Pelodiscus sinensis: one gene and its partner. The protein of the gene in region 1 purifies or fractionates together with the protein of each later gene. This does not show direct contact. Links are inferred from orthologs where the notes say so. Each region holds a gene or a part of one and is shown in the gene's direction. Other genes may lie near its edges.

Evidence for each region. Proteins that work in one complex are often made in the same cells at the same time.
Region 2: the proteins of GPN3 (region 1) and POLR3B purify together in Homo sapiens (affinity purification with mass spectrometry; 3 studies listed by BioGRID and IntAct, counting the BioPlex papers as one, with this or other methods). This does not show direct contact. The link is inferred for Pelodiscus sinensis from reciprocal best matches to the Homo sapiens genes GPN3 and POLR3B.

Annotation. Positions count from the first base shown.
Region 1 is NC_134725.1:32,203,324-32,210,945, forward strand, and holds the start of GPN3 (GPN-loop GTPase 3), read left to right. Parts: upstream 1-4,586; 5' UTR 4,587-4,767; coding exon 4,768-4,815; intron 4,816-5,369; coding exon 5,370-5,478; intron 5,479-6,120; coding exon 6,121-6,288; intron 6,289-6,619; coding exon 6,620-6,744; intron 6,745-7,622. UniProt on the Homo sapiens protein: Small GTPase required for proper localization of RNA polymerase II (RNAPII). May act at an RNAP assembly step prior to nuclear import.
Region 2 is NC_134711.1:96,922,604-96,930,704, reverse strand, and holds the start of POLR3B (DNA-directed RNA polymerase III subunit RPC2), read left to right. Parts: upstream 1-5,002; 5' UTR 5,003-5,062; coding exon 5,063-5,134; exon of another isoform or gene 5,135-5,135; intron 5,136-8,101. UniProt on the Homo sapiens protein: Catalytic core component of RNA polymerase III (Pol III), a DNA-dependent RNA polymerase which synthesizes small non-coding RNAs using the four ribonucleoside triphosphates as substrates.

The DNA of each region.
Region 1 (7,622 bases):
AGGGGGTGAGCTCACAGAAGACCCTGGGGGAGGGGCTTCCAGGAGTGCTGACAGGGCCACTGCCATTTGCTTTCCCACTCTCTGGGCCTCCTCACCACCTATCCTGCAGGGCCAGCTTCCTGGTCTCCCTCAGCCAAGATACCTTGCTGAGATCAGTGCCCTCCTCTGCCCCCAGGAAGCAGTAAAGATACTGAATCTCTTCTGGTCCAAGGAAAGGCCAGTTTAGGCCCCAGCTTCCTGAGATACCACTCCCCAAATGGGATCAAAACCCACCAATGAATTACTTGGGTAAGCTCCCTTTAGCAATGAAAGGGGAAATGTACACACTGGTTGCCCCTCCCTGCCAGGTAAAAATTATTTTCATTGGGCTTGATAGAAAATAAAGTGTTTTTATTAACAACAAGCAGTAGGATTTAAGTCAGGGCTACTCAGCACATGGCTTGTGGGTCACATGTGGCTCATGGCCCATTTATTTGTGGCCTGTGGTCTGATTTGGGTTTATGTGGCTCAACACGCGGTCTGCAGGTGGGATCCTTTGAACGTGGCCTCTATTGGGAACACACTCCACAATGACGAGGCATCTTCCATGCGGGGTGAGCACTGAAAGACACAAGTGGACAGGCTGGCTGGACCAGATGGGTACAGAGTGTCAGTGTTTCTAGTCCCCAGAGAGGAGGTGTCAGGAGCTGGGGCATTGTGGGAAGTGCTGGCTACTTAGCCTTGTGGGCAGAATCTAAAAAGTGCTGACTGGCTCACACTGGCCATGTTTGGGTCTAGCGCCACAACTTAAATCTTTGTTTTCATGCCAATAAGCGTGAAAGAAGTTATTTGCATATACTTGCATATATATTTACATGTATATGCAACCACACTTAAGCTGTGGCCCACTGCATGTGCTGTGAGTATCATTGTGACGCTCGGGGCTTCCAAAGTTGAGTAGCCCTGATTTAAGTGGTAGTAAGTGAGAACAGGCAGAGCAAAGTAGATTACAAATCAAACGTAACAAAAACTGCTAAGCTAATTCTGACACTAACTAAAATCCTCAGAACAAACTATAAACTCACCCTAAAACTGTCTCATTTCCAGCACAACCTTCCAAACCAGGGCTGTCCCTCACCTTGGAGCCTTTAGTTCACCCTCTTCACATCTGCCCAACCAGCCCAAAGACCCAGACTACTACCTTCCTATTGTTTTTAAAGATTCCCTCCTGGGAATTCACCTGGCCAGTTGGGGTGAACATGTGACTTTCCCAGACCAACCACTGCTAAGACTTAAAGGACAAAAGAAAGTGTTGGTCATCAAGTTGGTCATCAAGACATTGCATCTTTAATGCTATTCATTCACACATTTAAAACCATAAAGCATTCCCCAGTCCATATGTCTAATTTTATACACAAGAATGACACACATACCAAAATGAGATGAACAGATCTAGCAGATTAAGATATGAAGATTGATAGGTTACATGAAGTAATTTGCTCAAAGCACTTTGGAGTTATGTACATTTGTACCCATAAGTCCATTTCATAAAGCATCAGGGGGTCCATCACGTTGAGACTCTCAGCTTGCATCTTTCTAGCTCTCATGTTGCAGAGAAAAGGTACAAAATGTGAGCCAATGGTACCCAAAAGTTTCAGAAGCTAAGCCCTTGTCTACACTACAGAGATCATGTGTGTCCGATATTTTTTTGAAAGCCATCTTTGGCAGCAGAACACAGAGACTCCCAGTCCCCACTCCTGGGTGCCACAGCTAAGCGTTACACCAAGGTGACTCAACTTTGGAAGTCCTGGGAGCCACAATGATACCTACCGCACATGCTGAGGGTAGGGTTACCAGATGGCTTTCAAAATAATATCAGACATACAAGATCTCAGAATGGGGGGAGGGGAGGAACCAGCTGGGAGGGGTTCGGGGGAGCAGGGCTGATCGGGGGCAGGGGGCAACTGGCTGGCGGGAAGCAGGGCTGGGCGGGGAGGATAGGAGGAGCAGATCTGATGGTGGGGGGAGGGGGAGAATGGCTGGCAGGAAGCAGGGCTGGCCAGGAAGGGGTCAGGGGGAGCGAGGCTAGCCGGGGTGATTTTGGGGTGGAGGCTGGCCAGCGGAGAGCTGGGCTGGCCAGGAGGGGGTCGGGAGGAGCAGGGCTGTCCAGGGGAAATTGGGGGAAGGAACCAGCTGGTGGGAAGCAAGGCTGGCCAGGAGAAGGTTGGCGGGGGTGGGGCTGGCCAGGGGAAATAGGGGTATTGGGAGGCGGACCAGCTGGTGGAGAGCGGGGCTGGCTGGGAGGGGGTCGGGAGGAGCAGGGCTGGCTGGGGGAGATTGGGGGAAAGGAACCAGCTGGTGGGAAGCAGGGCTGTCCGGGAGAGGGTCGGAGGGGAGCGGGGCTGACTGCGGCGGTGCGGGGGAGACGACTGGCAGGCAGGGAGCAGGACTGGCCGGGCGGGGGAGGAGGGGTCAGAGGGGAAGAACTGGCTGGTGGGGAGAGGGCTGGTTTGGGCACACACAGATCCTGGAGTGCTGCCCATCCCGTGCATGGTCCCGGCAGGGTGCATGAGTGAGTCCGACCCCAGAGATTCCATCCCGCCTCACCCCCGCCCCCTCCTCCCTACTGCGTAGCTGTGTACTGCCTGGCTGGTAGACACGTTCACGCACTATGCAACTTTGTACTGATACTCAGGATAACAATAAAACTTACTTAATTAGAAAATACTGGACATTTATATGTCGGGTATTTTCTCAATTTGTTTCCCGGACAGAAAGCTCAAATACCGGACTGTCCGGTTCAAAACCAGACACCTGGCAACCCTAGCTGAGGGCTGAAACTTAAATGTGGTTGCATATACATGCAAATATATATACACTCAGCTTCTTTCACATTTTGGGCATGAATACAAAGATTAAGCAAGACCACATAACACACAGGCCCCATTTAAGTCAGTTGTGCTGATATTAATAAAATGCAATATTTACCCGATTTCCATCCATAGGACAGCACTTTTAGTGAGCAATGACAGTCCAGGACTTAAACTACTAAAACGCATATCACCAAAAAACCATTATATTGACTACTTTTTTTGGGGGGGGGCTCTCACCTGCAGGCCGCATATTGAGCCCTGCGTAAATCCAAACCACACCACTGGCCGCAAACAAACGGGCTGAGCGCCGCATATGGCCCATGGGCCACATATTGAGAAGCCCAGCACTATAACATGTACCCTCTCCCTCCACACCTGTTCTCGCACCTCACTCCATTCCAAAGCCTGTAACCCCTCACCCCTTCTTACATCCACTGGCCCAGCCCAGAGGCTGCACCAGCACCCAAATTGCACCCCCCCCACTCTCCCTCCCGCACCCAAACTGCACCCCCCCACTCTCCCTCCCTCACCCAAACTGCACCCCCCCACTCCTCCTCCCGCACCCAAACTGCATCCCCCCCACTCTCCCTCCCTCACCCAAACTGCATCCCCCCCACTCTCCCTCCCTCACCCAAACTGCACCCCCCCCACTCCTCCTCCCGCACCCAAACTGCATCCCCCCCACTCCTCCTCCCGCACCCAAACTGCATCCCCCCCACTCTCCCTCCCTCACCCAAACTGCACCCCCCCCACTCCTCCTCCCGCACCCAAACTGCATCCCCCCCACTCCTCCTCCCGCACCCAAACTGCATCCCCCCCACTCTCCCTCCCTCACCCAAACTGCACCCCCCCACTCCTCCTCCCGCACCCAAACTGCATCCCCCCCACTCTCCCTCCCTCACCCAAACTGCATCCCCCCCACTCTCCCTCCCTCACCCAAACTGCATCCCCCCCACTCTCCCTCCCTCACCCAAACTGCACCCCCCCCACTCCTCCTCCCGCACCCAAACTGCACCCCCCCCACTCCTCCTCCCGCACCCAAACTGCACCCCCCCCACTCCTCCTCCCGCACCCAAACTGCACCCCCCCCACTCCTCCTCCCGCACCCAAACTGCACCCCCCCCACTCCTCCTCCCGCACCCAAACTGCATCCCCCCCACTCTCCCTCCCTCACCCAAACTGCATCCCCCCCACTCTCCCTCCCTCACCCAAACTGCACCCCCCCCACTCCTCCTCCCGCACCCAAACTGCACCCCCCCCACTCCTCCTCCCGCACCCAAACTGCACCCCCCCCACTCCTCCTCCCGCACCCAAACTGCACCCCCCCCACTCCTCCTCCCGCACCCAAACTGCACCCCCCCACTCCTCCTCCCGCACCCAAACTGCATCCCCCCCCACTCTCCCTCCCTCACCCAAACTGCACCCCCCCACTCTCCCTCCCTCACCCAAACTGCACCCCCCACTCCTCCTCCCTCACCCAAACTCCATCCTCCCCACTCCTCCTCCCGCACCCAAACTCCATCCTCCCCACCGAGAGGCGTAGGCGGGAGGGCGGATCTGGGGGGGGGAGGGGTTGCGGGCTCTGGGCACCGCCAGTTTCTGCGGACCTGCCGCCCAGACGCCTGTGACCCACTAGGTTAACCCAGGTACGAGCCTCGGCGCCCCGCCCAACAGCCCACTCCGCCAGCAAAGCGTCTCCGCGCGTGCGCAGGAATAGTCTTCCACGTCCTCTCCAGGAGCCGAACGGGGCGATTCGGCCTCTATAGGAAGTTTGAGCTTTGGGACGCTCCGTATCCGAGGAGCTCTAGTGTGCGAATACGGCGTATCCGCCACGCTACGGGATCGCGGAGGGGTCAGTTCCTTTCGCTCGGTCCCTGCTGTCTCCGCGCTGCGTTGGAGAAACTGAGCAGCAGCCATGCCCCGCTTCGCCCAGCTGGTCATGGGCCCGGCGGGCAGTGGGAAGGTGAGACCACCCTTCGCCTTGTACCGAGGGTGGACCCGGGGCGTGCGGCGGGAATGGGGGCGGGGCATAAGGGGTTGGGGTAATTGAGGAAACTGAGGCATGGGAAACTGAGGCATGGGTAAGTACTTGGAGGCGTGGGGGTAAGTGGAGGGTTATGAGGCGGCTTAAGTGGAAGTTGCCGTGTACTCCCGTTGGCGTTTCTTGCAATCTGACATGGTGTAAAGTGGCGGTGACTCTTCTGATAAAATAGTCCTTTGTGGTAGCCTACAGATAACCCTTTGCATTGCGTTTGCATCGCTCCTTTCATCGGGAGACTGGACGGTGCTGTACAGAGGAGGTGTTATCCCCCTTTCACAGCCAGGGATACTCAGGCATAGAGGGGAAGTGCTGCATATGTTGGACGGTTACGTCAGGCAGAGCTGGGAATGGAATTCGGGTATTCAGATTCCCAGACTCCTGCTTTCAATATTAAGACTGTTGCCTCTACTTTCAGGTATAAAATTGCAACTTTTAGGTACTTTCAGTGGGTAATAAGATTCCTATTTAAATTACAGAGCACTTACTGTTCCACCATGGTTCAGCATTGTGCAGCCCTAAACCGCTCAGTGCAAGTTGTTAACCTGGACCCTGCAGCAGAATACTTCAATTATCCTGTGATGGCTGGTGAGTTGTGTTTGGGTGCATTGTTTCTTAATTTCCTGTACTCTCCGAACTGCTGAAAATGGATAGAGAATAGAACAGTTCTTACACAGGCTGAATCAGGCTTGAATATCGAGTTTTCTTTTTAATGACAAATTCAAATTTAATTCAAATTTGACCTGTCTGCATGTCAAAGCTGTTCCGATTTGACTTACAGCACTCTCCCGATTTTAAATCTGATTTTTATTTTTTAATAAAAGGATATATATATATATATATATATATATATTATACACACACACACAAAACTATGGTATTTTGAGGCAATATTAGTAGGACCTATACAATATTTTTCCTGAATCTATAGCAGTATTTTACAAACCTTTTAGAAATAGTCAGTGTTCTGGTTTCCCCCTATATATACATTTTTTTTGTCTGTTTGAAGGAATGGAGAAAAGAAACAACACTTTAAAAAAAACCCAGGAATTTGTGACTGTAAAATCACAAAAATTGGCAAAAGGCATGGGGGATGGGAGAGCTGGGGCAGCACGTGAAACAAATTTAGTTGGCGAAGATCATTTGGAGATTTAAACTTGTAGGAATTTGCTTCTGGAATTTATTTATGAAGTGTTGAAAAAAACACAAAACATGCACTTTTTATTCTAGACATTCGAGAATTAATTGAAGTAGATGATGTTATGGAAGATGACAACTTAAGGTTTGGTCCCAATGGTGGTTTAGTGTTTTGCATGGAATACTTTGCCAATAACTTTGATTGGCTTGAGGATTGTCTTGGCCATGTGGAGGATGACTACATACTCTTTGATTGCCCAGGTAAACAAGCTTTTATATTCTGGTGACTTAATTTTTTTTCTTATCTGATGTGTAGATTTTTTTTGCATGTATTTGATCATTTGCAGATAAAGCCTTTTTTAACTGTTATGTGGTTTAGTGCCAAAATGAAACATATTATTTTGTTTAAAACTGTCCAAGAGCAAATACTTCTTTTTAGATAATGCTATCACACATTCTGTGCTAGATTTCACTAATTTTAATAGCAATATCTTCTGCCTATCTACTATAATGGTATTTGATGAACTAATATGCTATTACTGTCTCAGCATTAGCTTTACACTCCTGCATATTAATTATGTATGTGTCCTAGGTCAGATTGAACTTTATACTCATTTGCCAATGATGAAACAGCTGGTGGAGCAGCTGCAACAGTGGGAATTTCGTGTCTGTGGAGTTTTTCTTGTTGATTCTCAGTTTATGGTGGAATCTTTTAAGGTAGGAGTTTTAAATTGATTGTAACAAAGTTTTTAATTTACAGATGAACAATCTGGAGAAATGAATAACTATATTCAGAATATGGATGTTAAATATTGGTGAATTGAATAGTCAATTAACCTCATGAATTCTTATTGGTTAGTCGACTATTCTATAGTCCCCAGGCAGCCCCTGTCCGGGGGGGAGGAGTCTGAGCTCCCAGACCCGGCACAAACCGGAACTGAGCCGGGCTGCCTAGCTTCTAATAAACTTTAAATGCAGAGCTGCAGTGGGGGTAGGTCCAGGACCCAGTGCAAGCCAGGGCTAAGCTGGGCTGCTGGCCAGCCTGCTAAAAATTTTACTGGCGGGGGGTGGGGGCAATGAGTGTAGTCTATAGCATTAACCTATAAGCTTTTGCTTATCAGTTAATCGACTGTACTGTTACATCCCTAATTCAAAAGCAATCATAGCATTTTTCACCTCTCCATTGTCACTCTTTTGTAAACTTAAATATTCTTTATGGCCTAATAGTCTATGGAGGTGTGGGTAGGAAATGGGAGTCATGAGATCTGCGAAAAATCCTTGAATGCTGACTGTTCACTGTATCAATTAACCTGTAAAATGAGCAAAATTGGTACTTGAAAAATGAAGTTCCTGAAGTAAGGGATACACTGAGATGGGAATCCTAGAACTCGCCCAGAAGTAGGTTGGCTTCTGACCTAACAATGTCCTTAGACATTGCTTTGCCTCCTACATTTCATATCTGTCTGTTGCTAGTAGGGGCAAAACTAGCAAAAGACAGAAATGAGGCTGTAGGGTAAGTTGTGCATATATGCACAAGACTGGGTGAAAAAGGCTGATGGAGTAAGTTGGAAAAAAGTATAGTACAGAAGGGGAGA
Region 2 (8,101 bases), on another chromosome or scaffold:
ATTTCCCTAGTACATGCCAACATTACTGTATTGGTGTTAAGTTTACCAATGATAGTGTGAATATGGGCTTGCAAAATAGAAACATTTCAGAATTAATGTGATCCAATACTTAAAGATGACAGTTTAAACATTTGTATTCCTTGGAAAACTAACTTGGATGCTGACTTCCATTTCCTTAGACAAACAAAAAAAAAGTTACCTATTAGAGGTCATATTGTCCTTTAATTAAAATTTGGAGACCTAATCTGCTTTTTTTTTTTTTTTTTTTTAATATACAGTGGTTGCACCTTTGATCTTTAGAGGTGCTTAGGCACCTCTGAATTGGGACTTTTTAAACCTCTGATTTTGAAAGCATTTATGCACAAGAGTAGCCTTATTGACGTCAATGGAACAATTTGAGTTTAAAGTTAAACATATATTTAAATGTCTTGCTGGAGCAGGACCTAAATTTCAAAAGCGAGTAATGGTTTTATTCACTGACACTGGATGCTTCAGTTTTCTTGGGTCTCAAGTTCAGCATTAAAAATCACTGATTTCTAAAAATTTAAGCCAAAAGCTATTAATTCCATATGAATTAGGCCAATACTGCAGCTTGAAAGTTGACCTGAGACCTTAGACTCATAGGCTGTGTCTACACTGCATCCCTTTTCCGGAAAAGGGATGCAGATGAGACAAATCGGAATTGCAAATGAAGCGGGGATTTACATCTCCCCCGCTCCATTTGCATGAACATGGCTGCTGTTTTTTTCCTGCTCGGGGCTTTGCTGGAAAAAAGCGTCAGTCTAGATGGGATCTTTTGGAAAATAAAGCCTTTTCCGAAAGGTCCCTTATTCCTGATTTTTAAGAGGAATAAGGGACCTTTTGGAAAAGACTTTATTTTCCGAAAGTTCCCCGTCTAGACTGGCGCTTTTTTCCGGCAAAGCCCCGAGCCGGAAAAAAGCGGCAGCCATGTTCATGCAAATGGAGTGGGGGAGATGTAAATCCCCGCTTCATTTGCAATTCCGACTTGTCTCATCTGCATCCCTTTTCCGGAAAAGGGGTGTAGTGTAGACACAGCCATACTGTCATGAATGGGCTTTGGAGCAGGCCCTATAAAGTCACTGAGGTCTTGCAGAGACTGTTGAATTGGACCTTTGATATAGGAATAAGCTTCTAGAAGTCTACACAATGTACACACATTATTTTGCATCTCTCACATTATTGGAGATGAGTGCTGAAATATTCAATGTAAAATGTTTCTATCTTGATCAGAATTAATCAAATATATAATGATAGTATTTGAGACTATTATAGTGAATTAGTCCTATTTTTAAATGTCAAAAATATAAACTTTGTCTGGTACAAGTTTCCAAGTATCTTCCTAATGTTTTATATACAGTATATTTTTAATTAAAAATAAACTTTGCCCATATAGGATTAATGTGCCATACATAATATATAAAGATACAGTACAACTGGTGTATTTCTCATGAAGATCTAAAACATCTGGGTATTAGTAGCACTATGGGTTTTAGTCCAATCTCCTTTTTTACAGAAATAGGCTTGTTTGTTTGAACAGGGAAATATGCTTTTTAGACAATGTCTCAGACTAGTACTGATCTCCCAGGAAAAACAAAGCAGGATTTTTAATTTTGTTTTTTGTTTGTTTCCATGTGGGACTAAGCAATAGCAGACCCATGTATTAAGTGAACATTCTTTTGGACACCTGTCAAAAACTACTACTGAAATTCTCTCTATGTTCACATGGGAGTGAAGGGAGACTAAAAGGTCTCAAATTGCAACACTTCTCAATGACTCCTCACGCCATTTCATCTTTATACCTTGTTAAAAATATCGCATCAAATAGATGAGTACAGATTTTTCAATTTGAGAAACTCAAAATTGAAAGGAGTTCTTACTTGCACGCTTGTTACATTGTGAAGTAGTACATTGTTATCTTCATGAATATGGGGCTTACATACATAATTCATATGTATCAAGAGACGAATATATCCCAAAAGCTGAAAAGGAGAGTTCTCTTAGTAATTCCCTAACCTTGGGAAATCTAAATTTGTGCGCTGGGCCTAAAGAAAAGATTTTATTTTTAACATGTACAAAAATTGTATCGTAACACTTTTTTATCATAGTGATTTATCTTTCTAAACTTCCTAGAAAAATTTTCTACACAAAAAAAATTTACTTTGAGACCTGTTGGAACATATTTTAGTTTAGAAACCTCTAATCTCTCTGGGAAATTGTCACTGTAACTTCCTACTAGAAAATGAGGATACAATAATTTGCTTGCATTTGACTTTTTAAAAGGGCATTTTATAGCATGGTATATGTTGGTGATGACTTAAACATTACAATTAGGATACATTTTAATAATGATTTGGATGTAGATGTTTCTTCTAACTTTTGTCTGTTACATTTGAACTATGAGCATGCAACTTCCAATCTGAATTTTGTTTCTTGAAAACAGGCAAATTATGTAGCAGCAGCTTTAGTAGATGAAGTACAAATGAATTTTTGTGATGTGCATTTTTTTGTAGGCATTAAAAGTTTATGATAAACCTTTGGTGAGAAGTCATTCATGCAAGCTGCTTCTCAGTTTAAATGTAATGCATTCAGCTATTTGATACATTATTGCAAAATGAATCTTGACACAAACCACAAGTTAAATTAACTGGTAAATAGAAAAGGATGAATGATGTATTAACATAAATGTAAAAATAAACACTGAATACAGGTATATTAAGCTATATAATTGTTAAAATAAGTGTGTGTTGTGTATAAACACACACACAGAGGCCTAGTTTAGTACAACCCCCCCCCCCCCCATCTTAAATTTTTTTGTAAAGGTTATATTTAGTTTAAAATAGTTTTTTTCCCCCCAGGGATTACCAACCAGTCCAAACCAGCTTTTCTTGAGGAAAAATAACTAAAAAAATGTAAATACAAAACAAGACTGTAACTGATTATTTAAATCAAGGTTTCCTGTTTCTGAGTTAAGAGCCCATCAACTGCATGGATTGATTTATTTCCCTTTTAAATGTTTTCATTCATATTGTAGGTTAGATGTCTCTGACCTAATGCTTCTAGAAATGTTTACTATAAAGCAGCATCCATCACTTGTAAAACCAGTTCACAACATGTCAGTTTTTAAAGAAATAACTCTGGTCCAAACTAACTGTTAGTTTAACACTATTGACTTACACAGCCTTCAGAATTCTAATAGTAATAAAACAGTTTACTGCAAACTCCACAGCCTGCTTGGCCTTGCATCTTTAACTATCCCACTTGGTTGTCATCTATCTGAGGAAAACAACAGCATGCACTAATGATTCTATTTGTTTTATCCAAAGATGTTAAAAACTGGGATGTGTTTTTAGGGGGTATGGGTGGAACTCATTACCAACAAAATATCACTGAGGACAAGTACTTAAGATTAAAAATGGATGATAAGAACATTCGTAGTTGTATAAAGTAGGATAAAAGTGTTAGGATATCTAATCTCCTCCTTTACAGAATAAGCTAACTACTAAGTTTAAGAAGAAACTCTTCCCCTGGGGCAAGTTATTATGTAATTTTCAACCGTGGTATTCCTTGCACTTTATTCTGAACATCTGGTATTGGCCATTTATGAGCACCAGACATGATATCAGAATAATGGAACAGAGGATGTGGCAATTCCTGTATTCCTTACTCGTTTGCATAGTAGAGATCCTTGGGTGCATCAGAGGTGCAAACTATTATTGAAATATGACTATCGTCTTCTTAGAAAGCATACAGTGATTTGTTTAAGTCTCCAGTGTGACCTTGCTTCTGAATGATGCCTAAACATTATTACATACATCTTTTAACACAAGATCAACATAGGGACTTTTATTGTGCATGTTGATGCTTCTAGTAAACAGTTGTTTTATTCAACTGGAAAATCCACCTCCACTGAAAGACAGGAATGTGATTTGTGTGTATTCTTCTGAGCTTCTCTTGAGAATCCCAAAAATCCACATATAAGGCTCAATACATTGAGTCGATAGGTGGCCTTGCAATTCCAAACCTAAAAAGTTCTTGAGGAAAACTGCAATGCTTGTTGTGGAGAGTTTTGTGATTAAAGTACATCAGTGTAGGATTCAGGAGATGAGAGCAAATCACTTTTCTTGTTCCTCATTTACAAAACGGAGATTACAGTAATTTGTTACCTCACCACAGTATTGTGAACATAAAATTGGAAATAACTGAAGTGCTGAGAGCACCACAGCATTAAAACTGGAAAAAATATCACGACTGTTGCATACTGACATTGTCGCTTTGCAGAATATAAACTTACCCTTAGAAGATAATGGGACTGCATCGGCACTTTCAAACCTTTGTTCTCTGCAGAAGGTCAAAGTTGGAGTTTGTTGGTTTGCCTAGTATTTGAGAGACTATTTTAGTTCTTAACCCTCTGAAATCCTAGCCGACTGCTAAGGGGGGGGGGGGGGAAAAGTGCAGACTACAACTCTGGCTCATTTGTTCTTCCCGACTTTACAGAGACGGTAACAGCGGCTTTCCCATGCAATACAGTGTCCAGCAAACAGTAACCAAGGGACTCGTCTACTGGAATAATATTGCCACACAATTATGCAGGGGCTACGTGCTGGCTTTGTACCAGGTGCGTTCCGACGGAGCCTGCGATGCTCTGCCCGGCACGATACCGCGCCCCCTGGTGGCTGAACAGCAGAAGTTTAACTTTCCGTGGCACATGCCGCACTCAACCCCCACCCAGGCCTGGCTGGGAGTGTGGGTGGGATTGGGGAGCTGATTTTAGAGGAGAGCCTGCTGCACCCCTCCCCCCACCCCAGGACGCTTCAGTGGGACATTTTCACTCAGGCAGCTTCCGGGCCCCTGAGCCGGGAGAAGCTGCTCGCACAGTGCGGGCGCGTTCCCCCCTCCCCCGGGCCGTTAAAAGAGACGGAACGATTCCGCAGCGCCTCTTGTTGTAGAGGGGGCAGGTTTCGTCGTCGCACAGCGTGTCCCTCGCGGGGAGCGTCCGCCAGCTGCCGTGTCCCTCCCGGCTCGCCTCTCTGCCGCGCTCGCCATGGACGCGTTAGCGGTAGAGCTGGGGACTCTGACCCCGGAGCAGGCGGCGGCTCCCGTGAACACGGTGGAGGTGAGCGAGGGGGTGAAGGCGCCGCCAGCCCGCAGAGGAGGGGCGGGCCCCGAGCAGCGGAGCCCCCGCGAGCTGTGCCCCCTGCTGCGCATGCGCGTCGCCCCATGGTGCGGCTGCAGGGGGCTTTCGGGGCTCTGGAGACCGAGTCCCCGAGTCAGCTGTGGCGCATGCGCGGGGCTCCGCCGGCTTTTCCACGCTGCCCAGTTCTCTCCCAAGGGAGGGAGCTCGCTCTTCTAGGCTGGCTGCTTTGCCAGGTGGCCCCCGGGGCTTGGGGACAACAGGCACCTGTATAAAGCCCCACATGTCGGGACTCGTCCCTATAAAATCAGGACATCTGGTCACCCAACTTCTCCTGCTAACCATCATCATAGAAACAAGCTGATATCTAACATCTTGTGCTAATTGAGGCCACCTCTTCTTCAAGCTGCAACTTTGCTGTGTGTGAAATTACCCCCGCTGAGATATCAGGCACCACCATAGCACGTGAGCAACATAAAAGTTGCTAGCCATAGCAGTGTTCCTCCCGGACTTTGTGGCATTTCTGGTACTTCTCCTCCTTCTTCAGGGTAAAAGTGCTGTCTGGGTTTGCATTTTTAGATTTTAATCCTCTGTTCCTTTTTTTGCTAGTGGCTTAGTGGACAGAAGGGAGGTGTCAGAAATGTAGCCTTTAAATCAAGGTGCACAATGCAAAGAGCTCAGCACTGTATTCCATTGCAAGGTTAACTTGTTATATGCTCCCTTTGAGCCTCATCTTGCAAGTAGGATAGTGATAGAAATGTAGCCGTGTTAGTCTGGGGGTAGTTGAAGCAAAATGCAGGACAATGTAGCACTTTAAAGACTAACAAGATGGTTTATTAGATGATGAGCTTTCGTGGGCCAGACCCACTTCCTATTTGATCTGAGGAAGTGGGTCTGGCCCACGAAAGCTCATCATCTAATAAACCATCTTGTTAGTCTTTAAAGTGCTACATTGTCCTGCATTTTGCTTGCAAGTAGGGTGAGCATCTTTTCAAAATGCAAAAAGAAGACGCATGCAAGAACCCTCCCTTTTGCGGGTCCTCCACTTCCACCAGAAACCCTCCTCCAGCCAGATTGGAAACTTGGAGCCAACTGTGCTAAGAGCTACCCAGGGATCTTTGGTCACTATGGGGAGCCCTAGACCTTCCATCTGCCCTGAATGGGCAGCCAGAGTCCATAAGAGTGGTGCCAAACCTGTGTCCCTGCCCCATGGGGTGTGCTGCCCAGGAACTGGTGGATACAAGGTCTGAGTCTCCAGGGCTCCACACAGGGACCTGGGCTCTGTGAGCAGCTCTTATTACTATCTAGCACCAGCTTCTGGCGGGGGATGGGGAGGAGGAGCAGGGGGCAAAACCTTGTGGAGAAAGAGAGCTTCAGCCCACCTGACTAAATAGGCTGACGCTATCCATAAGCCTCTGGTAGGTGCAGAATGGCACCATGGGAATCATTTAGCCTGGAACCAGGACTTGAAACGTACGTTGGTGGGACTGTGCCATCCAGTTAGGGAAGGTGGTTATCCTGCCTGGGGATGTTGGATGCTCAGTACTTCATGGAATTAAGCCTATATGTAGTAGGCACAAAAGGGTTGAGGCTGCCACTTGCACACTAGTTCCATCATGATTTTATTTGCTCTTGTAGCTGCCCTGAAACTAATTTTGTGCCAGTTTTACTTGTGACGTGCATGAGTTTATCATATAGGGTAAACCATGCAAAGTTATAACTCTTTATTGAATTCACCTTCCTCCACATTCATGTTTGTTCAAACTACTACAGTAAACTTCCAATAATCCGGCACCTTTAGGACCCAGGGGGTGCCGGATTATCAGATATGCCGGAGTATAGGAAGGGGGCCTATGAGGGTCTGGGTGGAGTTGGGGGGCTGTGCCCCTCGGCGCTGCGGGACCAACCCGGTAGCACCCCAGCTGCTCTGCCCCCGGCTTCCCCGAGTCAGCCACTGGTTAGTTTAAGCAGCGGCTGAATCGGGGAAGCTGGGGGCAGAGCAGCTCCAATGGTCCGGCTGCCCGGAGCACTTCCGAGTTCCAGATGATGCCGGACCATCAGGAGTGCCGGACCACTGGAGTTTTACTGTACATACCAAAATAGTTTGTCATAAATCCTGCTGTATCCCTTTTAAACATGGGAGAGGGGAGAGGGGAGGGAAACAGAACTTGATTTGAATTCAATTTTTCCTCCCTAGATTTGAAATGTAAACATTAAGTTGCTTCCCTTATTTTTTATGATTTTTGCTTTTCTCTTGTGGAATTGTGAATAACAAAGTTGTACTAAAAATCTTAAACAACGAATGACGGAATAAAAATTAACTAAATTTCATGTCTTTGAAAGCTAGTGAAACAATATATCTGGGACTCCACACTCCAGTATACATATCCATGACAATTCTTTTTTATTTATTTGAAGTTAATTTTAGAATTGAATTATTTAATGTTAAGAATCTTTGCTGCCTTTGAATCTTGAAATACTTGTAAAGTTAGACATACTGTCAACCCACAAGTCACATTTGTCTGAATATTTAGAACCTATTTTTTAATTGTAGTAACATCTGAGATTCCTGTACAGCTGAAACACGTTAAAAGAAAAAAGTCTTTTATGTTTTCACATTTGTACATTTGACAGCAATTTGTGTTTGGCTGTGTATATTAGTATTTGTAGGATTAGGACCATAATTCTCTCTCTCGCTGAAAAGACCCTGATAAACATCAATAGGAAAATAAAACATTTTTAAGGAGTGTCTCTTTTTTTCTTTTAAAAAATTAATCAGGACATAGTATTTAAATGGTGTTTTCTTATAAGCTTGTATTTTATTAAATTAGTCAGTTTAAAAACATGTAAACTGTGTTCCTTCAAGTATCTTGATTATAGTTTGTATTGCACAGGTGATTACTGTATTATTTAAATTGTCATTTGCTTGTTCATGTTACTAATTTTGAT